Macaca fascicularis: one gene and its partners. The protein of the gene in region 5 interacts with the protein of the main gene of each other region in a pairwise test. Links are inferred from orthologs where the notes say so. Each region holds a gene or a part of one and is shown on either strand. Other genes may lie near its edges. The genes, in order: FXR2, U2AF2, RNPS1, SNIP1, SRPK2 and ZSCAN9.

Region 1 (2,931 bases), on a different chromosome or scaffold from region 5:
GTGCATGCCGGATGAAAAGCCTGGAGCCAGATCAGAACACCACCAAGAAGGCCGGGCCCCAGGCTCCAGAGGCTGCCGTCAGGGAACCCTGCTCCTCATTCTGCCCAACGGCCCAGCCCAAGCCCCAGGCCTCAGGTAATCGGATTAAGCAGCCTGCCTTGGCTCTCAGCTTCTAGCAGGAACAGCTCCAGCTCTGAGCAGCCCTGCCTAGCCTGTGCCGTGACTCAGGGTATAGGAGTGGCCCAACTCCCTCCATCAGCAAACTTGGGGGAGGGGAGAAGCAACAAGGCACAAGCCCCCCTCCTCTGGACCAGGAGGGAGAACCTGGGCCTGGGGAGTTTAGGAATGTCAGGAATTCCCAGAAGTAAGACCATCTTTGGGACAAGAGACAATGAGAAGTCAAGTGTGGAGGAACAGAAAACAGGAGCGGGGGGTCAGGGCAGGTCAGTCCTAGAGAAACAAAGGGACCAAACTGGGGACAACGGCACAGGAGCCAGAGAGCCATTTGGATTTTTTTATTCTCTTTTTAAATACTGTACAGTGAAAAATAAATACGCCTTCTCATCCACCAGACAAGGTTGGTCCCCTCCCCCGGGGGACCTTGTCACCCCCCTTCATACACACCCCTGGTTCTACTCCAAAACCTTCCCCGTGCCTCCCACCCACTTATCTCTTACTATCCCCGTCTTCCACAGTGATGAGGCCCCAGAAATGGGGGGTACAGGATGGGAGGAGGGATAGCAGGGGAGGCCCCCTGAACGGTCAAATCTGGGTGGGTCAAGGAGCACCCCCCACCAACAGGTGGAGAATGGGGGTGTTCAGAGAGAGATTGGGGCATTAGAGGATAAAGGCACATCCAGTCTGATGGGGAAGGAGAGAGGCTCCCCTTACCCTGGGGGTAGGGTGGACAAGAGGGAGGGGGTATGACCCTGTTACACACCCCTCCACTAGCTCCTGGAGGTTGGGGGGTACCCAAGCTGCTGTGCCACCCCCCTCCCCCCTAGATAAGAGCAGCTCCAGCGCAGGTCAGTTGGGCCTGTGAGGGCCATGGTGTTGGGCAGCAAGCGAGATGGAGAAGGGAGGGGTGCAGGCTGGAGGTTTTATGAAACCCCATTCACCATACTACCCAACTCCAAGGGGGCGGAGAGCTCCCCATTCTCCGAGGGGCCCTTAGGAAGCTTGCTGACAGAGTCACCCTGAGGGGAAAGTGGAAAAGAAAACAGACAAGCAAGAAGCGGTGAGTAGAAATTCAGGTGGGAGACATTTCTACCATCCAAGCCCTCCTGGCATTTGGTGATCCAGAGGTTGGTTCCCCCATGATCCAGTATCTCTTACTTGGGATCCACAAAATGTGAACCACACTTTCCTCTCTATCCTATTCAAAGTTTACACTAGTCTAAACTCCACCAGACACCGCTGCCTCTGCAATTCAGTAAGAGATTTCTTTGTGAAATTTGTTGTGCCCTCTGCCCCAGAGTAACAACAAAAAAGGGATGGGTAAATCACATCTTGCCTGCCTACCTTCTGTCCTGAAAGAGAGTCCTCTGAGGGTTTAGTGCGTTCCAGGGGTGGCCGCTGGCGGCTCTGAGACTCTGCTCGTGAGATATAGTCAGCCACAGTCACTGGGGAAGGCAGGAGATTAAGACTTTCAGATGGAATTCTGGTAGCCAGCCCAAGACACCCACTGAACCCGAACCCCTGATTTTCACAGGGTAGGAAGCATCCCATTCTCTCAGCTCTGAGGAAGGATTCTGGTGTCCAGAGTTGGCTGACCTGGCTGGCGGTCTCCACTGATAGAACCATCAGTCCGATTACCACGGTTACGGCGGCGGCGGCTGCGATTACGACGTTGAGGTCTTGATTCATCTTCTGTAGGGCAGGAAAAAACCAGAGTCACACATCTAACCTCTCACCCTCGATTCCTACCCATGTCTAACTTTCCAGACTCCAGGCACACCCTCACCCAGGCCATTCTCTGTCATGTTGGGCCCATCTGATTCCAGGCCTCCATCCATGACGGTCCTGTCTTCATCAGTGCGGCGGCGGCGGGAGCGGCGGCGCCTGGCACTTGCTGGGGGGGGTTCCCCAGGTTCTGAATCAACCGGGGGCTCTGGTTCAGATGTGTCCAATAGGCTGTAGGGATTACTGTCTGGATCCTTCAGCACTGGTCAGAGGAAGAAGAGGAGAAGGTGGCATTCAGGTGCCCATCATCTTTTGTTTTGGCCCATATTCATGAACCCAGCTGTCTGGTACCTGAGCTAATAGATGAAGAATTATATCTCGAAGTGGGCCGGGGGGCAGGTGGGGGTCCCCTACCCCGGCCCCCAATCGGCCGCCTCCGGCTTTCTTCCCCTCGGGTTGGGGGATCCCTGTCGCCAGGCCCAGCTCGGTTGGGTTCCTCTCTCTTCTCTGACTCAGTCTCTGAAGCTGTAGACACATCTGAGCTGGGGCCTGAAGAACACAGTGGGATTTATTCACGGCCATTCGTCCTACCTCAGGATCCATCACATTCCCCAAAATGGAAGAATTCTCCCTCTCACTCACAAGTCCCCCAGCCAATCAATCACTTCTTTATCATCTCCATCCCAGATTTCCCCAAACTTCCATCCAGACCTCTGCCTCTACCCACAAGCCCTGCCACTCCCTGCCTCCTGTTCCCAAGCTGTCTCACCATAGGCAGGACCGCCTGTCCTCCGGCCACGGCCACGGCCCCCATAGCTGCCCCCATAGGTTCGAGTCGCATGGAGGGAGGAGGAGGAGCTCTCATCGGTGCTATATCCAGCCTTGTCACTGCCACCGCTGCCCCGCCCACTCCCAGGAGGGCGAAAGCCCAGCCCAATCTGCCGAAGCTGCTCATCAATTTGCAACCTCTCCAAGCGAAGCTGCTCTACCTCCTGGTTGGGTAAAAGACGGAAGAAGAAGCGAAAGGAG
Region 2 (3,633 bases), on a different chromosome or scaffold from region 5:
GCGACGGACCGGAAGCGGAAATTGCTGCGTTCCCCGCCCTCCCGTGCCGCGCCCCGCCCTGGCGGGAGTCGCTTCCGCAGCCAAGCCAACCTGGAAGGCATCACTTCCGGCGCGCTGGCCCCCGTTGCTAGGCGCCTTACGTCATTTCCACCCGCTGCCGTGGGGGCTCCGCGGGGTGCTCAGCGGGCGCCGGGGGTCCCCTCAAGCTGGCTTGGCGGCAACCGCGGAGCTCCTGGCGCACCCACGCCGCGCCCGCCCCGGCCCGCTCGGCCACCCTCCCTCCTGTCGGCGGGGTGGGAGAGCACTCGGGAACCTCACGCCCCCCGGGACTATGCCTGTGCCGACCCCGAGGAGCGCGCCGCGCAAGCAGGGAAGGCCCCGAGGGTGCCGGCGCCGGCACCAGGGCGTCCCCATCAGGGGCCCACAGTTTGCAAGGGAACCGCCACCCGAGCCCAGAACCGAGGAAGAGGGTCGGACACACTGGACACACAGCCGCTCGATAAAGTAAAATACAACAAAATGTTTAATGAGCAAATTCGTCTTAGCAAATATGAAACTGCCACAGAGAGTAGGAGAGGGGCAGGGGCCACGGGGCTGGGCGCAGGTCGGGGGAGACTAAAGAGGAAAAATCAACTACGTAAGAAACCCAGGAGGGGACCAGAGAGGACCACAGGCCGAAGGAACAGAGCTGTGGTCCTGGGAAGGGAGAGGGCAGGGCACTGAGGGCCGGACAACAAAATTCAGAATAGTTTGGCCATAAAATATAAACACGCTATGTTCCTACCGTGGGGAAGGGGAGGAGAAAGGGGGTCTAAGGGAGGAGAGGCTGTTTTGGGAGGGGCTGGGGTCCTACCCCGCCCTGCTGTGCACCCTGTCCCCATCCCAACCCCTTCCCTCTGTGTCTGTGTGGGTGCGTGTTGTCTGTGTGGGCTGTGTGCGCACTTCCCCAGTCCCCTCCCTGCCCTAACCCCCCAACCCCCGCCCCCCACCCTTAATTGCTGCCATTCCAGTTGCTGCCGGCTGTCGTGTGTCTGCGGCTGTCACTCCTCTGCCCATCGTCTTCAGAGGGGGATAAGGGGGGGGCGGGAGTGGGGAGAAGCCCCCAGCCAGCCCTGCCCCCACCCTCCCCCAGCCGCCTCTACCAGAAGTCCCGGCGGTGATAAGAGTCGGGGTCACAGTATTTTGTGACAACCACTCTGTTGGCGAACTTGCGGCCCGTCAGGCCCTGCATGGCTTTCTGGCAGTCAAACACAGAGGTGAACTCCACAAAGATCTGTGGGGAAAGGAGAGGCAGGTTTGTGAACAAGGCTCAAGCCTAGCAGCCAGCCAGCCAGCACCCACCCAACCCCGGAACTGAAGGCAGAAGGGACAGGGAGGAGGGGGCTTCGCCACAGGCGTCAGAAAGGAACCCTTAGTGCAGGTTCGGTGAAGTTTACCCAAACATCCTCCAGGATCAAAAAAAAAAAAAGCAAAGACACACCATAGGCATGGAGGAGGAGAAAGAACAGAGAGACACGCTGGCGAGTCAGCAGAGCCATAGAGGGCAGGCCTAGACGAGCTCACCGTGGGGAGGGGTCCCTTGCGCTAAGCGTCTACTCCACACGAGCCACCATGGTGGGCGCTCCCAGAACCACCCCAACAGCCATGTTCTCCCAACAATAAATGGGCTAAGGGAAGCTCAGAAATTAGGATTCAAACTCAGGTTGACTAAAATTTAAAAACTTGAATCTTGATCTCTTCCAGCTTCTAACCTTACTTAAACCAATTTAGAGGAAAATGGAGGGAGGGAAGAATACAATGAGCCTACATGAACACTGAAAATCCTATACAGCAGATGAACTTCTTTTTTTTTTTTTTTTTTTTTTGAGACGGAGTCTCTCTGTGTCTTCCAGGCTGGAGTGCAGTGGCCGGATCTCAGCTCACTGCAAGCTCCGCCTCCCGGGTTTACGCCATTCTCCTGCCTCAGCCTCCCAAGTAGCTGGGACTACAGGCGCCCGCCACCGCGCCTGGCTAGTTTTTTGTATTTTTAGTAGAGACGGGGTTTCACCATGTTAACCAGGATAGTCTCGATCTCCTGACCTCGTGATCCACCCGCCTCGGCCTCCCAAAGTACTGGGATTACAGGCTTGAGCCACCGCGCCCGGCCAAACTTATTTCTTCAACAAATAAAAGAGCTTGCAAAAAAAAAAAAAAAAAAAAAAGGTGGGGAGAGAGGTACAAAGGATAAATTATAGAAACTTTTGTTACCAAATTCAAGGTAGGGACCTTGATCTGGATCCTTACTGAAACAAACTATAAAAAATATTCTTGGCTGGGCACAGTGGCTCACGCCTGTAATCCCAGTACTTTGAGAGGCTGAGGCAGGGGGATCACCTGAGGTCAACAATTCAAGACCAGCCTGGCCAACATGGCGAAACCCCATCTCTACCGAAAATAAAAAAATTAGCCGGGCATGATGGGGGGTGCCTGTCCCAGCTACTACTCTTTAACCCGGGAGATGGAGGATGCAGTGAGCCAAGATTGTGCCACTGCACTCCAGCTTGGGCAACAGAGTGAGACTCCATATCAAAAAAAGAAGAAAAATTCTTGGCCGGGCACGCTGGCTCACGTCTGTAATCCCAGCACTTTGAGAGACCAAGACCAGTGGATCACGAGGTCAGCAGATCGAGACCATCCTGGCTAACACAGTGAAACCCCATCTCTACTGAAAATACAAAAAAAAAAAAAAGCCGGGCGTGGTGGCGGTTGCCTGTAGTCCCAGCTACTCCGGAGGCTGAGGCAGCAGAATGGCGTGAACCCAGGAGGCGGAGCTTGCAGTGAGTCAGAGATCGCGCCACTGCACTCCAGCCTGGGCTACAGAGCGAGGCTCCGTCTCAAAAAATAAAATAAAAAAATTCTTGAGACAGAAAAATTTGAACATGGAATAGGCACTAAAGAATTTTGCTAATCTAATCATGCTATTGTGGTTTTGTTAAAAGAACAATTTTTTAAGGTTATCTGCTTAGAGCAATGGTTGTCAAATGGAGGAGGGGTTGTCCCCAGGGAACACGGAGCAATGTTTGGAGATGCTTTTGGGTGTCTCAAAGCGGGGAGCAGTGCTCCTGCATCTGGTGGGTGGAGGGTGGGGATACATCTCAATATCCTACAACGCACAGCGCAGGCCCCCCCAGAGAAGTTATCTGACCCAAATGTTAGTTGAGAAATTACAGAAACATACTTAATGATCTCAGATGAAATATCTCTGATATGCTTTAAAATCAGCAAAGAAAAAAGAGGAGGGGGGAGAAATAAGCTGAATATGAAAACTAAGAATGACAAAATATTGGTAACTTGAAGCCAGATGAAGGAACACCAAAATATTAGCACATATACTATGATAAACACTCATCACTATCATAGTCTCTACTTTCAGGTACATTTGAAAAGACATGTAACAAAAAATTTAAGAAGAAAACAGGAATACAATGCAGTAATTTCTTTTTTTTCTGAGACCGAGTCTTGCTCTGTCACCCAGGCTGGGAGTGCAGTGGCGCAATCTTGGCTCACTGCAACCTCCGCCTCCCGGGTTCAAGTAATTCTCCTGCCTCAGCCTCCTGAGTAGCTGGGATTACAGGCATGCGCCACCACACCTGG
Region 3 (4,204 bases), on a different chromosome or scaffold from region 5:
TTTTAAAAAGCAGTAATTGCACTGTACTTTAATAATATGCATATTGAGTGTAGGGGAAAATACATGCAAGTCTGCAATTTACTTTGAAAGAAAAACTAAGATTGAGAAAAACTAAGATTGAAAGAAAAACTAAGATTGATAAAAACCATCTAGCAAATACAGCAGAAATATAACTTACAGACTCTTAACCTCTGAGTTTTGTTTTGTTTTTTTTTGAGATGGAGACTTGCTCTGTCACCCAGGCTGGAGTGCAGTGGCACGATCTTGGCTCACTGCAACCTCCACCTCCTGGGTTCAAGCGTTTCTTCTGCGTCAGCCTCCTGAGTAGCTGGGACTACAGGTGCTTGCCATCAAGCCTGGCTAATTTTTGTATTTTTAGTAGAGACAGGGTTTCACCATATTGACCAGGCTGGTCTCCAACTCCTGACCTTGTCATCTGCCAACCTTGGCCTCCCAAAGTGCTGGGATTACAGGCGTGAGCCACCAGACCTGGCCCTTAAGTAGTCTTTATGTGGGTATTAATTGTATAATTTGACGTTCCTGTGCTTTAAAAATTTTTCAAAAATAAGATGAAAAAAAAGTAGGCACTGAAATTGCATGAGAGACTGCCTGCCATGTAAGAGTTTAGCAAAATGCCTGGACTGCAGAATGTGTTCAAATAGCGGTTACTCATTACTCAAAAGCAAACTAATTAGTTATGGGCCCTATTTTCCAGGGACGCCTTCAGTATTTCCAGTAAAGTTCTGCACAAGCTGCAGGAGTTGTTAAGTGCAGCTCTCAGGATGTGAGTCTCAGCTACTTCTGTCTCACCTTCTCCAAGAGCCAGTTGGTAAGGAGGACACAGCACACCAATGGGGTCCTGGTTTCCCTGTGCAGTACCTGCCAGGGGTGCTTCAAAATGCTGCTGAAAACGTGTTCTGACCCAAGAAAGAAAAGCACCTGGCTTTAAACAGTCAAATGAGCCAAGGAGGGCCGAACACCACCTCTGCTGCTCTTGTCCGGGGGTATCATGTTTTGCTTTAGAATAGTAAGGTTCTGCAGACACCCAGCAGATAGTGCCTCGACACTGTTGGTGTCCTCGGACAGTCAGTGAGTATCATTCAGAGTATAATTCAGAGTCTGCAACCAGAGGGCCTGGGTTTGATTTGAGGTTTTACGGTGTAATTTTCGACAAGTCACTTAACCTTTCTCAAGTTTCTTATCAATATGGTGACAATTACAATTCCAACTTTATAGTTACCCAGGGCATTAATGAAAAGCTCAATAATGTTAGGAGCAAGATTTGTAAAGGCTCCTCCCTCCCCCAGACATTTGTCTCCAAAGTCACACGTAATTTCTGAACTCTCAGCAGGGTTCCTGCACTCATCTGCCTTAGGATCACCTGCAGCAGAAATGTCCAATAGAAACAGTGTGAGGAGCCACAAGCATCACCTGAAATTCCTTAGTAGCCACATCACAAAAATGGGTGAAATTTTTAACACTTGACACATCCAAAATATTATCTTTCCAACATATAATCAACATAAAAATCTACTAATAAAAGTTTACTTTTTTTTCATAGTCTTCTAAAACTGGTATGTGTTTTAACATTTCAGTTTTGATGAGCTGTATTTCACATGCTTAGTAGCCACATGTGGCCAATGGCTACTTCACTGGACAGCACAGACCTAGAGTGGAGGTCACACCCGCAGATTTCAGCCCCACCCCCCCAGACTTAAAGATCTGCCCAAATGTACTTTGTGGAATCAAACACCACCAGTTATTCTCAAGCAGTCCAAACACTAAGAACCACTGAGTAAGCGGACGGCTCGCTGGGTGCGGTCGAGTGCTAGAAAGCAAAAGTTGAGGTTCTCTGTTCACCCAAGTTCAGGTACCGGCTCAGGACCTCGGTTACCTCCCCCATCCTCCGGAAAGGTGCGCGTCCAACAGCCAGAGAGAGGAGAGAACAATTAGTTAAATCTCGAGGAGAGGGCGTTTCGGCATAAATCTTCAGAGCACCTTCCCCATTTAAGAGTACATTTCAGGCACAGTTCATGAGAAATCAAGACAAAAAGCCTACTCCACGTTTCTCCTCCATCAACCTTAACCTTCCCGTATCCACCCCTCTGGGATAACCCATCAAACTGAGCTCGGACACCGTGTTCGGTCCATAGTGGGCCGTATCCCCACGGCCTAGCGCCGACAATTGCACACGGGAGTCCGGGAAACGTTCGCGGAGTACACGTTTGAATTAATGACTCCGAAGGATGGATCGGCCGACCTTCCACCGCATCCCACAAAGAAACTCCGCGCCCGCCGGCACCGGCCCGACACGCCGACCTCGCCGCTCCCCGTCCGCGTTCACTCACAACTTCCCCGTCCAGGCGCCGGGCCGCAAGCGCTTCCAGGGCAGCGCCTGGCGTTGGGGGCTTGGGTCTCCGGCCCGGCGGGAGGGCCCCAAGAACGGAGGCCGCGCTCACCGCTGCTCCGAGTCCCGCGGGCCTGGCTGGGCCACCGCCGAGCGGACGAAGCAGAGGCGCCCTTCCGTCCGCGGCGGCCCCGATCACTTCCGGGCCACGGCCTCGACACCTCCCACTCCGCCCGCCCCGGGCCACACTCTTTCTTCTCGGAGCCCGCACCGCGCTGCCAGGCCACCGCCGCACTGCGGGGCTGAGAAGTGGACCGGCTTCACGATGCGTCCTGCCGGGCCTGACGGGCAGCCCCCGAAACACGGATGCGGTCGGATTCCGCCCCAACTTACATCTTCCCGCCGCCACCACCTCCTCCTGCTTTCCTCAGCCTCCGAGGCCGGCGCCGCTCTGACGTCAGAGTCAAGGAGCGGGAAGACGCCGCCGTCCGGCGCGTAGCGATGACGTAAACGCCTGGCCCAATGGGCGCCGGCGGGGAAGTGTTAGACAGTCAAGGCAGTTTGTGGTAGCCGCGTTGGGGACGTTCAGGGTGTCTCCTCGCCGGTAAAGTCCCTGGGACTGACCGGACTGGCTGCACGCTTGCTGGAGCGAGCACATGGGTAGCCTGCTGAGCCTGGGAGGGCCGCGCGATAACCGATGCTCGTCGTCCGGAGCGGAGGGTGTTATCGCGGCCGTGCCCCGCCCCTTTCCTTGCGCGGGCTCCCTGGACCCGCCCGGGCCGATTCTGGCCCCTGTCGCCGGCGGTGGAGGCGGGGCTCCAGGCCCGGCTGTGCTGAGGGCGGCAGGGTGGTCGCACAGGAGGGGTGCGCAGCCTTTGCGGCCTTGCGTGGCGGGGCGTGGGGGCCTGCAGGGCGGAAGTAGCTCGGAGAGACGGGCTGGGGCAGGACTTGCGTTCCTGCGGTCAAAACCCACTGGTGGCGTTTGGGGTGCTCTCGTGGACGCGGCCTCCGCGCAGGCGGACCTCCAGGGTGGGCGCTGCAGGCGGGCTGTGCGGGCAGGAAGAGCAACGAGCTTGAGGATGGGAGATGGGGTGCAACGGGGGGCGTCTCCGGGCAGGTGACACTGCCGCTGAGACTAGAGTGGAAGGGCGCGCCCGGCGGGGGAACAGCAGACGCCGAGGTTCGCTGGAAGCAGGGAAGGGAGGCCGGGGCACAGGCTCGCAGGCCCGCGCCAAATTCTCAGTGGAGGCAGCACGGAGCGTGTGAACGGCGCAGCGCCGAGGCTTCATCTAACGGCCGGTGCAGGGTCCGAGCAGGGAACACTGTCGACCAGGGTCCGACTCTGGGAGAGTCCAGAGGTGGCGCCTCTGGCAGGCACAGAGGAGGGGGTGACGCTGTAGGGGCCCAGGCAGGAGGCTCCGCGTCAACGCCCCACACTGACGCGGCGGAATTTTTTTTTTTTGACAGAGTCTCGCACTGTTGCCCAGGCTGAAGTGCAGCGGTGCGATCTCGGCTCACTGCAACCTCCGCCTCCCGGGTTCAAGCGGTTCTCCTGCCTCCGCCTCCCGAGTAGCTGGGATTACAGGCACACACTACTACACTCGGCTAATTTTTTGTATTTTTATTAGAGACTGGGTTTCACTATGTTGGCCAGACTGGTCGCGAACTTCTGACCTCGTGATCCGCTCCTAGGCTTTCAGGCTCGCTCCAAAAGTGCTCGCTCCTAGGTTCGCCTTGGCCTCCCAAAGTGCTGGGATTACTTTACAGGCGTGAACCACCGCCCCCGGCCGGGTTTTGTTCACTGCTGTGCCTGTTAGGTAGTCGTTGCCCTTTGATTATTTGTGGAGGGATTGACTG
Region 4 (3,500 bases), on a different chromosome or scaffold from region 5:
ATGGCCCCGGTGTCTGTACCGGTCACTTTTCCTAGCTCTCCTGTGTTCCTGTTCTGATGGTTCCCTGTGCTGCCGATCCTCCCGTCCTCTCCGGGGATGATCCTCACGCTCCTGAAATTCAAACAGATTCTGTAATTTTAACACAGTGCACAATCTAAAGACAGCCCAAATCTTGTTCTTTTTGAATGAGGTATATTCAAAAGGTCTTTTGTAATTTGGAGTTTGGCATTTAGAACAACATTTCCCACAGAAATAAGATTATGTCTGGTGGTTATGTTCCCTTGCAAGGCCACAAAAATGATATCCCATGCTGCTATTCAACCATAGCCCTAATAGCACAAGCCCAGGTCCAGAGCCCTAAAAACAAGAGACTATTTAGTCCAGAAAGGAGAAAGAAAAATAATTTCCTCCTTTTCACAACAAAGGTAACTATGGGAAAACTTACAGGGAAGAATATACAGAAAATAGAACTAAGAGTTAAGTAGTCAGGTACAAGATATGTAAAGAAAGAAGCTAGCTTTCTCTCATGCCAAAAATGAAAATATAACAGTTTTTAAATCCTACTTCCACAGTTAAAAAAAAATTCAATACCTAGGAATAAACTTAAGAAACATGAAAGACATATAAGAAGAAATCTGTAAAAATTCATTAAAATAGAGGCTTTTTAAAGATCTGAAGAAATGGAGAAACATACCATGATTTCTTGAAAAAGACAGCATTGAAAATCAGCCTAGGCCAGGCACGGTGGCTCATGCCTATAATCCCAGCACTTTGGGAGGCCGAGACAGGCGGATCACCTGAGGTCAGGAGTTCCAGATCAGCCTGACCAACATGGTGAAACTCCATCTCTTCTAAAAATACAAAATTAGCCGGCTGTGGTGGCACATGCCTGTAATCCCAGCTACTCAGGAGGCTGAGGCAGGAGAATCGCTCGAACCTGGGAGGCAGAGGTTGCAGTAAGCCGAGATCGCGCCATTGCACTCCAGCCTGGGCAACAAGAGTGAAACTCCTTCTCAAAAAAAAGAAAAGAAGAAAAAAAATCAGCCTGGTAGAAAATGTCTGCAACACAAACCAGACAGTAGTCCTAGGGGGATACATTCTAAGTATGGTGGACGGCTGAAACCACGGATAGTACTGAACCTGACTGCCATCAAACGTAACACATTTCTGTTCACATCTTCCACCCATAAATTTAATGCCTTTTCCATCTTAACTAAGCACTTATGAACTGTGGCTGTAACTTTTACAGTATGAAATACAACAGCAAAACTAGCATGAATTTCTTTTTCCTTCCCCACAATTTCACAATAGAAGATTCATTCTTACTATTGATCTTAGCAACTTCAATATAGGATTTGAAAAGTTTTTTTTAAGTTGAGAACTTTCATCTTTTCGTTTAGGAAGCACTTTACAGCTTCTCTTTAGCCTTCCTAATTGCCAAAATCACTGCTATTGCACTTTGGGGCCACTACTAAATAAAATAAAGGTACTTGAATCCAAGCACTGCAAACTGCAACAGTTATCTGATAACCAGGATGACAACTAAGTGACGGACAGGCAGGTAGCGCATACAGCACAGATACACCAGACAAAGGAAGGATTCATGTTCCTGGTGGGACAGCACAAGTTTACACCAAATGACTCAGGATAGTGACCAATTTAAACTTTATGAGTTGTTTTTTTCTGGAGTTTTCCATTTAATATTTTCAGATGTAGAAAGTGAAACCACAGATAAGGGGGGACTACTGTATATTACTATATCAATAAGAAACAATTCAACAGAGAAACTGACAAATGGCCAGGTGCCAGTGGCTCACACTTGTAATCCCAGCACTTTGGGAGGCCAAGGCAATGGATCGCTTGAGCCCAGGAGTTTGAGACTAGCCTGGGCAACATGGTGAAACCCCGTCTCTACTAAAAATACACAAATCAGCTGGGCACAGTGGTGCATGCCTGTAGTTCCAGTTCCTCAGAAGGCTAAGGTGGGAGGATTGCTTGAACCTAGGAGGCAGAGGTTGCAGTGAGCTGAGATTCCACCACTGTACTCCAGCCTGGATGACAGAGCAAGACTCTGTCTCAAAAACAAAAAAGGAAAGAAAAATGAACAATTTTCAGAAGAAATAAATGTCCAAGGGCCGAGCACAGTGGGTGACGCCTGTAATCCCAGCACTTTGGGAAGCCACGGCAGGAGAATTGCTTAAGCTCAGGAGTTTAGACCAGCGTGAGCAACACGGCAAAACCCCACTTCTACAAAAAATACAAAAATCAGCCAGGCATGACAGCATGCACCTGTAATCTAAAATTACAGCTATTCTAGAATTTGAGGTGGGAGGATCACTTGAGCCCAGGAGGTCGAGGCTGAAGTGAGCTATGATCATACCACTGCAGTCCAGCCTGGGCTACAGAGACCCTGTCTCAAAAAAAAAAAAAAAAAAAAAGAAAAAAGAAATACATGTCCAATAAATGCATGAAGATATGCTTAACCTAATAACCAATGCATCAAATTCTAAAAGAAACATGAATTTTCTCTCCTTGAATTAGTAAAATTAAAAAGATCAATAATATCTACAGTCAAAAAGGAAGGCACAGGAAAATGGGTATTTTCAGTCACTGCTGGTACATGTATAAACTAGCATAGCCTATTTAGGTCAATTTGACAGTATTTAATCAAAATCTCATCAACCACTAATGCCACTTATAGAAATCAATCCTACAGAAATACTAGCAGAAACGCACAAACACATACATATCAATGTGTTTACTGTAATTTCATAATAAAAAAACTGGAAACAACTTAATGTCCTGCAACGGTAGAATGGTTAAATTATTATCTATTCATACAAAGGAATACTTCACAGCCATGAAAAAGAAAGAGATCATGACATAGAAAGATATCTAATATATTGTTAAATGAGAGAGGAAAAAAGAGAAGGGGCAAGTTTCACAATAAGACCAGATATTTCTATATATAGACTTGGCAGATGAAATACTTGGAGAGATGTTCCCACCTAAATTTAACTAGATACTTATTAAATTTTTAATGTATTGTTGGGCTGTCAATAAGCAAGGCAAAATCTCCAATGAGAAAAAAATCTCCAAAGTGGGGTAAGAAAAAAAAACAGATTTGAGCTCTAAGCATGGGCTCAAATACTAAAGAATACTAGACACACACAAGGAAATGGAAACAAGCCACTGAGCATGAGAGGCAGCAGAAACAAGTCTTATAGGGTGGGCATGGTGGCTCACGCCTGTAATCCCAGCACTTTGGGAGAGCAAGGGGGGCAGATCACTTGAGGTCGGTCAGGAGTTCGAGCCCAGCCTGGCCAACATTGTGAAACCCCGTCTCTACTAAAAATACAAAAATTAGCCAGGTGTGGTAGTGCATGCCTGTAATCCCAGCTACTTGGGAGGCTGAGGCAGGAGAATCGCTTGAACCCAGGAAGTGAAGGTTGCAGTGAGCAGAGATGGCGCCACTGCATTGTAGCCTGAACGACAAAGCA
Region 5 (3,500 bases):
ACTCAGATTGACATAGCTATGCTAAATGGACAACAGGAATTACTGTAACAAAACTGAAGCTAGAAAAATATTCTGATGACTAAAGGTCAGCTACAGGAAAGCTGTTACTATGTTCTCCTCTGCAGAGAAGTGGGCAACAGAAAAAAATGTTCAAATATAGATGAAGCAGCAACTACAAATTTAAATGGCCTTTTAAAGGGGGACAAAAGTAAATAATTTTAACATTAAAATATAATGTAGCTGGGGTATTTTCCATTTCAAGAAAAGGGTGCAGTTATTTCCAGCAATTAAACTTTTCCAAAAAGTTCCTTATATGTAACATTTGATTCAGATACCTTCAACAACTGCAACTTTGCAAGCTCACAACGCCCCCAAACTGAAATGAAGCTAGCTCAGCTCCCTCACCTGCAGACCCTGAAGGAGGAGGAGCACCTGCTTTCTGCCACTCAGTGGCCTCAGCTGCCATTCTTCTCACATAGGCATCATCCACACACATCAAGATGTTTTCTGGCTTTATGTCAGTATGAATGATCTTGCACTTACTGTGTAGATAATCTAACCCTTGAAGGACCTGGATATAGTAAAATCAAGAGAGAAGATAAGCTATTAATACTTCATTATATAACTTTTATTTATTTGAAAAACATGTAATACGATGACAAGGTACAAAGTTTGATAAACACAAAAGGATATTTAGTAAAAATCTCCCTCCCATGACTACCTGCATAGGAATCCAGCTCTCCTTTCTATAAGCAACAAATATGTATAATTTCAGAGATTATTTATGCTCATGGAAGCAAATGCATCTACATACAGTTGAACCTTGAACAACATGGGTTCACTTATACCCATATTTTTTCTTCCACCTCTGCCACCTGAGACAGCAAGACCAACCCCTCAGCCTACTCAATGCGAAGATGATGAGGATGAAGACCTTTATGATGATCTACTGAATATGATCTATCTACTTAATGAATAGTAAGTATATTTTATCTTCCTTATGATTGTCTTAACATTTTCTTTTCTCTAGCTTACTTTATTGTAAGAATATGCTATATAACACGTTAATCAACTGGTCATGTCATCAGTAAGGATTTTGATCAACAGTATGCCAGTAGTCAAGTCAGAAGCCAGATCCGGATTTTCAACTCCATTGGAGGGGGTTGGTCAGTACCTCTAACCCTTGTGCTGTTCAAGCGTCAACTATACATACTTCAATAACAACTATATTCACGTATCATACAGTTGACCCCTTTAGGTATAGAATTCAATGGGTTTTAGATGTGCGACTATCACTACTATTTATTTTTTAAATTTTTATTTATTTTTTAATTTTTAATTTTTTTTATTTTTTTGAGACAGAGTCTCGCTCTGTCACCCAGGCTGGAGTGCAGTGCGCGATCTCAGCTCACTGCAACCGCTGCCTCCCAGACTCAAGCAATTCTCCTGCCTCAGCCTCCCAAGGAGCTGGGATTACAGGCATGTACCATCACGCCTGGCTAATTTTTTTGTATTTTTAGTAGAGACGGGGTTTCACCATATTGGCCAGGCTGGTCTCGAACTCCTGAGCTTTGTGATCCACCTGCCTTGACCTCCCAAAGTGCTGGGATTACAGGCGTGAGCCACCGCCCCTGGCAACTATCACCACTATTTAAATGACAACACTTTCATTGCTCCAAAAAGAAACAACATATTCATTAGCATTCACTCCCCATATCCCTCCTACCCCATCTAACCCTTAGCAACCACTCATCTACTTGCTGATTCTGAACATTTCCTATAAATGGAATCATATAAAGTATTTTTTGTAACTGGCATCATGTTTTCAAGTTTGACTCTTGTGCTGAATGTATTAGTACTTCACTTATTTTTATTGGCAAATAGTATTCCACTGTATGGAGATAAAATATTTTGCTTATTCCTTCACTTCATGAACATTTGGGTTATTTTCACTTTAGGGGCTATAAAAATAATACTGCCATACTGCTATTCACACTTGCGTATACATTTTTGTGTGAACATACTTTTTTTTTGAGGGGAGGTATATACCTAGGAGTTACCATAATTAGCTCATATCGTGCCTCTATATTTAGCTTTTTGATAAACTGCTAAAGTGTTTTCCACAGTGGCTGCATCATTTTACATTCCTATCACCAGTGTATGAGGGTTCCAATTCTTCACCCTGAACAACACTATCTTTTTTACTTTATCCACCCAAGTGGATATGCAGTATCTCATTACAGTTTTGATCTATATTTCCCTGATGGCTAATGACGTCCATACATTTTTAACACTGCAAGAGAAGGGGGGCTTGATTTAAATAGAAAATAGCCTTAGTATCTAGACAATGCTACAGCATCATACTAAAAGAAAGTGATGAACCAAGATATTCATATTTATCATATTAAAACAATCAATCAAAAACTTACAGTGTCAGTGACCTGAATACAAGGTCAATGTTTTTCTATAATTATTTCCACTGGAGAATAATTTTTTCAATTATTTCCATAAACAAAATTTATTTTTACAAAACAGATCACGTTCTCATATGAGCATTAGAAATTCCAAATGTTAAGCAAATATTACATCAATCACCATTCAAATAATGAATCGAATGGGCATTTTGTTCACAAGAGACAGGAAGTGTTATATGTTTCACATCATCCAACACTGAAATATTCCCAGTTTAATCGACAGTCTGTTATCAGGAAGGCATCTGATCAACAGCAGGCTATTAGTAGTTAGCCTACTGTTAGTAGAAGTTTAAAGTAGCATTATGTAAGTGAGAGGGAACAAAGATTTTACAAGGAAAATGAAAACAGGAGTATCTGTCTCTTAAAAAGGATCAAAATGCCTACAAACATTTAAAACAACTTTACCTTAGGGAGTATTTTTATATATATTCACTGAATGTGCATCGGCTGAGGTCCTATCACATGCCATTATTCCAGGTGTTTGATATATAAAAGCTCCCAGGCTTCATGTTGCTTACAGTCCTCATATCCTCACAGAGCTTACCAATTCAGGACAGGAAATGAGTATGAGCGGTGGGGGAATTGGCCAAAAAAAAAACCAAGATGAATCATGGGCATGGCAAATATTATTTAATAAGATATTGACAAGTTCCTGGTAAGCACCAGTAAAGTAGATAAAACTAGGATAAGATTTTAAGACTTTTGATTTTTTGCCTTAGAATATTTACTGTTTTGGACAATACTGCAATTAGGATATGTTTAAATTACATTTAAAATGTCAAGGCTGTGCTCGGCCTTGCCTTGTAATCCCAGCACTTCGGGAGGCCGAGGCAGGCAGATCGCTTGAGGCCAGGAGTTCAAGACCAGCCCGGCAAATATGGTGAAACCCTGTCTCTACTAAAAACACAAAAAAACTGCACAGGCATAGTGGCACAGGCATGGTAGCACACGCCTGTAATCCCAGCTATGCAGGAGGCTGAGGCACAAGGCAGAGGTCACAGCGAGCTGACATCATGGCACTGCACT
Region 6 (4,019 bases), on a different chromosome or scaffold from region 5:
ATTGACTGGAGGCCGGGCGCGGTGGCTCAAGCCTGTAATCCTAGCAATGGGAGGCCGAGACGGCCGGATCACGAGGTCAGGAGATCGAGACGACCCTGGCTAACATGGTGAAACCCCGTCTCTACAAAAAAATACAAAAAACTAGCCAGGCGAGGTGGCGGGCGTCTATAGTCCCAGCTACTCGGGAGGCTGAGGCAGGAGAATGGCGTAAACCGGCGAGGCGGAGCTTGCAGTGAGCTGACATCCGGCCACTGCATTCCAGCCTGGGCGACAGCGTGAGACTCCGTCTCAAAAAAAAAAAAAAAAAAGAAATTGACTGGAAAGATGTTCATAAAGAGGAAAAATGATATCAGAAGCAATTTTAATCTGATAAAGTCATGGGAGCTATAGGAAGGTCTGCACAGAATTTATTCAACACATACACTTTAATTTAAATCGAGAGATGTGTTCCATGTAACAGAAATCCATAATTGCTAGGGTAAATGAAATAAACAGAAGCTAGAGACAAAGAGGCAAGGGAATTTGCAGCTTTGATGCATATGGGGGTAGTATGAAACTGAAAACAGCAGAACCTTGCTACAGATTGATTGTCAGAAGATTAACAAAAAGTCAGTAAGAGGGTATGATTTTATGTGTGGGAAATCAGACAAGCTGGAGATAATTCCTGCAGGGAGGGCTAGAATGGGGAAGCAGCTGATTCAGTCCCAAGTGCTCAGATCTATATCCACAAGGGTGGCCACTGCCACCATTCAGAAGATTACAGAGAAGGAAATGGTAAAGTCTGATTTCACTGGATTCTCCCATACAGTCTGCCACTTACTAAGCATATCTCATATCTTTCTACTGCAACTATGAACCCAAATCAGCAAGGGTGGCACTGGTGATTTGTGGCAATAGCGACCACGTATTAAGCATAATGCATGCCAGGTGCTTTTCATAAATTGTTTGTATTTGATGCTCACAATGACTTTCTGAGGTACATACTGGTTATGGACTAAATTGTATTCCCTCACATATGTTGAGGTCCTAACCCTCAATATGATTATAGTTGAAGATAGGGTCTTGAGGGAGGTACTAAAAGTTAAATGAGGTTATAAGGTAGGGCTCTATCTGGTAGGAATGGTATCTGTCCTTATAAGAAGATGAGAGAGCTTCCTCTCTCTCTGTATGCACACAAAGAAAGGCCATGTGAGGATACAGCAAGAAGATGGCCATCTATAAGCCAGAAAGAGGCCTCACCAGAAACCAAACCTGATAGCATCTTGATCTTGGACTACTAGCCTTCAGAAATGTGAGAAAATAAATTTCTGTTAAAGACAACCAGTCTGTGGTATTCTCTTAAGGCAGCGCAAGTAGACTAAACCAAAGCTATTATCAACCCCATTTTGTAGATGAGGGATCTGAGGTCAAGTGGTTAAGTAATCTGCCCAATACAAGCAGCTTCCATGAGGCGATGCCAGGATCTGAACCTGTCTGTCAAACCTTGAAGTCCATTCTCTGAAGCTGTGCTCCACAGCGATCCCTGAAAGCCTTCCTCATGTACCATGCATCAGAACTCCAGAGAGCTTCCAGGATGGTACTCAGAGAGAAGTCTGCACACAGGGAGAAGGGTCAAAGATGAGCACACTAGGGTCTAAGAAGCACTGAACATTGCTGCTATCTGGTAAGGAGTCTTTGGATCTCCTGTTTTCCCAGCTCTGGGTTTATTGTTTGTTTTTGCTTGACCAGGTGAGATTCGTTCAACATCAAATAAATGCTGTCCCTCACCTGTCTCTCCAATAGAATGGCACTTCAGAGCAGAGTCACGTGTGGGCTGGGACTGAAGGCTCAGTGGTGTCTGCTCTGCTAGAGGCACCATCTCTTTAGAGAGGACTTCTTGTCTGTGTCTGTGGGTTACCATCTGGAGACAAAAAGACAAGATTTGACTTTTGAAGAAATTAACTGTCTGAAATAAACACTTCCAAAAAAGAAGGAAACAGGAAGGAGAGTATTTTGTCACCAATGTCAAGGAGACACAAAGCAGAGGATACAAGGATTCTTGGCATGCCAAAATACACTTTTTTCTCTAGCAAATCTCCCTTCCTACCTCGTGTTGTGGTTCATCGAGCTCTCTCTCCAGATCCTCCAGCAAAATCACAGCCTCTTCTCCACTCTCTGGACAGTGTTCCCTCACCCAGTCCTGGAGCTCCTTGGGCAGGATGGACAGAAACTGCTCCAGCACCAGCAGATCCAAAATCTGCTCCTTTGTGCTCACTTGTGGCCTCAACCACTGGTAGCAAAGTTCCTGGAGTCGGGTAAGAGCCTCCCTTGGTCCAGGGGTCTCTTGGTAGCACAGCTGTCGAAAGTGCCTTCGGAAGATTTCCCTTGCCAGTGGATTATTGCGTTTCAATCTGGATTCCTGCCTTTGGAGGTGACTTTTTGCTTCCACTTTCATTGTCAGAAGTTCTTCCCATGCCTGGGGAACTTGAACACCCAGGGATAAAACCTCCTTTGAGTTTGTATTCATCTTGACCTTGAACAACTTAAAAGGTACCCTCCAACTGCAGCTATGCTTCAAGACAAACCTTGGAGGCGCCTGCCTAAGCAGTAAAAATAAATTATTTATATGGAAAAATGACAATAACTGATGACAGAAACTGATAATATAAGCATTTATCATAGGCCCTAAAGCTCTCCTCTGAAAGTGATTTGGTGACCAAAGGATGGAAATAATGGAAATATATATATATTCATAATGTGCAAAGAGTATAGGCTTTTAAGTTACCCAGATATGGGTTTTCTTTCTTTCTTTCTTTTTTAAAAACAGGGAATTTCACTCTGTTTCCCAGGCTAGAGTGCAGTGGCATAATCACAGCTCACTGCAACCTCAAACTCCTGGGTTTAAGCGATCCTCCCACCTTGGCTTCCCAAAGTGCTGGGATTACAGGTGTCAGCCACCACACCTGACCCAGACCTAGGTTTTATTCTGATCCTAACATTTACTAATTGTGTGACCTTGTGCCAAGTTTTTAAATTTTCTTTCAGTCTTTGTTTCTTTATGTGAAAAAGAAATAGCAATAATACTTTACAGAGTTCGTGGAGGAAAACAGCCCATGAATTAGGGACTGCACAGATCACTCAGAAAGTCTGAATAAAAAGTTTGAGCTCACTGTATAAACATCAAATTAGAGAAAGAATAAATGGAAATACTATTACTGTCGACTAAATGAATGAACCAACATTTACTTTACTATTTACTTCAGTTTTCTTAAATTAATCTTCAAAACAACCACTTAAAGTTAGTATTATTTACACTAAATTTACAGAAAGAAAGGCTTGGGTGGATTCCAAGCCCTGGAGCTTTCCACACCGCCCTGCTGCTACTTAAGAGTAACAGTCAACATTGCACAAGTCTACAATATGCTTTCAGATACAAGACCATATTTCATCCTCACAATTACCCACTGAGGTTTTATTGTAATAATTATTTCATTAGATAAGAAATGGAAGCCAGGGAAAGTTAGGTAGATTGCCCAAGGTCAACTTCTTTGTGAGGACAATCCTAAGAAGCCTAAGAAGCCAAAGAAGCCCAAGGGAGAAGTTTTCTCCAGAGACCCGGGCAGCGCCTGAAACCCCGGGGGTGTTCCCAAAATGTGGGTCTCCAAAATGTCAGAAAGCACAGCGCAGCAGCTTAACTGCAGCTTGACAGGCTCTGTGGCAGACATCTGGGGAATCTGAATTGGGAGGTGGAGAGAAGTACAGGGAGCCCCAGAATATGCACCTTTAACGGGCTCCTCAGTGATTTGTATGTATTATAAGGTTTGAGAATCAAAGAACTAAGGAAATCGGGAACTGTCACATTCTGTACTTTAAAACCAGTCCATTCAACGCCCCTTAATTTGCTTTTAGAATCTAGAGGTAAGAGGGTATACGGGCTCTCCATCTTGAAGGCTGCCAAAGTCTTAACTGTCCTTAACTTCCTCTCCCGGGGGTTTCTTTCCCTGAGTCCTAAGCCTGTTGTCGTTATTCACCGAGGTGAC

What was found.
Region 1: the proteins of SRPK2 (region 5) and FXR2 interact in binary tests that used the Homo sapiens proteins (3 or more experiments, as listed by UniProt). The link is inferred for Macaca fascicularis from reciprocal best matches to the Homo sapiens genes SRPK2 and FXR2.
Region 2: the proteins of SRPK2 (region 5) and U2AF2 interact in binary tests that used the Homo sapiens proteins (3 or more experiments, as listed by UniProt). The link is inferred for Macaca fascicularis from reciprocal best matches to the Homo sapiens genes SRPK2 and U2AF2.
Region 3: the proteins of SRPK2 (region 5) and RNPS1 interact in binary tests that used the Homo sapiens proteins (3 or more experiments, as listed by UniProt). The link is inferred for Macaca fascicularis from reciprocal best matches to the Homo sapiens genes SRPK2 and RNPS1.
Region 4: the proteins of SRPK2 (region 5) and SNIP1 interact in binary tests that used the Homo sapiens proteins (3 or more experiments, as listed by UniProt). The link is inferred for Macaca fascicularis from reciprocal best matches to the Homo sapiens genes SRPK2 and SNIP1.
Region 6: the proteins of SRPK2 (region 5) and ZSCAN9 interact in binary tests that used the Homo sapiens proteins (3 or more experiments, as listed by UniProt). The two-hybrid records come from large-scale screens. The link is inferred for Macaca fascicularis from reciprocal best matches to the Homo sapiens genes SRPK2 and ZSCAN9.

The regions. Positions count from the first base shown.
Region 1 is NC_088390.1:7,640,283-7,643,213, forward strand, and holds the end of FXR2 (RNA-binding protein FXR2), read right to left. Parts: exon of another isoform or gene 2,895-2,931; coding exon 2,672-2,894; exon of another isoform or gene 2,452-2,671; coding exon 2,254-2,451; exon of another isoform or gene 2,165-2,253; coding exon 1,964-2,164; exon of another isoform or gene 1,870-1,963; coding exon 1,774-1,869; exon of another isoform or gene 1,712-1,773; intron 1,623-1,711; coding exon 1,522-1,622; intron 1,197-1,521; coding exon 1,101-1,196; 3' UTR 501-1,100; downstream 1-500. UniProt on the Homo sapiens protein: mRNA-binding protein that acts as a regulator of mRNAs translation and/or stability, and which is required for adult hippocampal neurogenesis. Specifically binds to AU-rich elements (AREs) in the 3'-UTR of target mRNAs.
Region 2 is NC_088393.1:63,627,017-63,630,649, reverse strand, and holds the end of U2AF2 (splicing factor U2AF 65 kDa subunit), read right to left. Parts: intron 1,274-3,633; coding exon 1,139-1,273; 3' UTR 501-1,138; downstream 1-500. UniProt on the Homo sapiens protein: Plays a role in pre-mRNA splicing and 3'-end processing. By recruiting PRPF19 and the PRP19C/Prp19 complex/NTC/Nineteen complex to the RNA polymerase II C-terminal domain (CTD), and thereby pre-mRNA, may couple transcription to splicing.
Region 3 is NC_088394.1:3,040,702-3,044,905, forward strand, and holds the start of RNPS1 (RNA-binding protein with serine-rich domain 1), read right to left. Parts: upstream 2,801-4,204; 5' UTR 2,743-2,800; coding exon of another isoform or gene 2,741-2,742; 5' UTR 1,549-2,740; exon of another isoform or gene 811-1,548; intron 1-810. UniProt on the Homo sapiens protein: Part of pre- and post-splicing multiprotein mRNP complexes. Auxiliary component of the splicing-dependent multiprotein exon junction complex (EJC) deposited at splice junction on mRNAs.
Region 4 is NC_088375.1:197,383,772-197,387,271, reverse strand, and holds part of SNIP1 (smad nuclear-interacting protein 1), read right to left. Parts: intron 1,803-3,500; exon of another isoform or gene 1,795-1,802; intron 112-1,794; coding exon 1-111. UniProt on the Homo sapiens protein: Required for pre-mRNA splicing as component of the spliceosome. As a component of the minor spliceosome, involved in the splicing of U12-type introns in pre-mRNAs. Down-regulates NF-kappa-B signaling by competing with RELA for CREBBP/EP300 binding.
Region 5 is NC_088377.1:146,659,102-146,662,601, forward strand, and holds part of SRPK2 (SRSF protein kinase 2), read right to left. Parts: intron 572-3,500; coding exon 406-571; intron 1-405. UniProt on the Homo sapiens protein: Serine/arginine-rich protein-specific kinase which specifically phosphorylates its substrates at serine residues located in regions rich in arginine/serine dipeptides, known as RS domains and is involved in the phosphorylation of SR splicing factors and the regulation of splicing.
Region 6 is NC_088378.1:144,973,194-144,977,212, forward strand, and holds the start of ZSCAN9 (zinc finger and SCAN domain-containing protein 9), read right to left. Parts: upstream 2,801-4,019; 5' UTR 2,660-2,800; coding exon 2,087-2,659; intron 1,901-2,086; coding exon 1,768-1,900; intron 1,593-1,767; coding exon of another isoform or gene 1,477-1,592; exon of another isoform or gene 391-1,476; intron 1-390. UniProt on the Homo sapiens protein: May be involved in transcriptional regulation.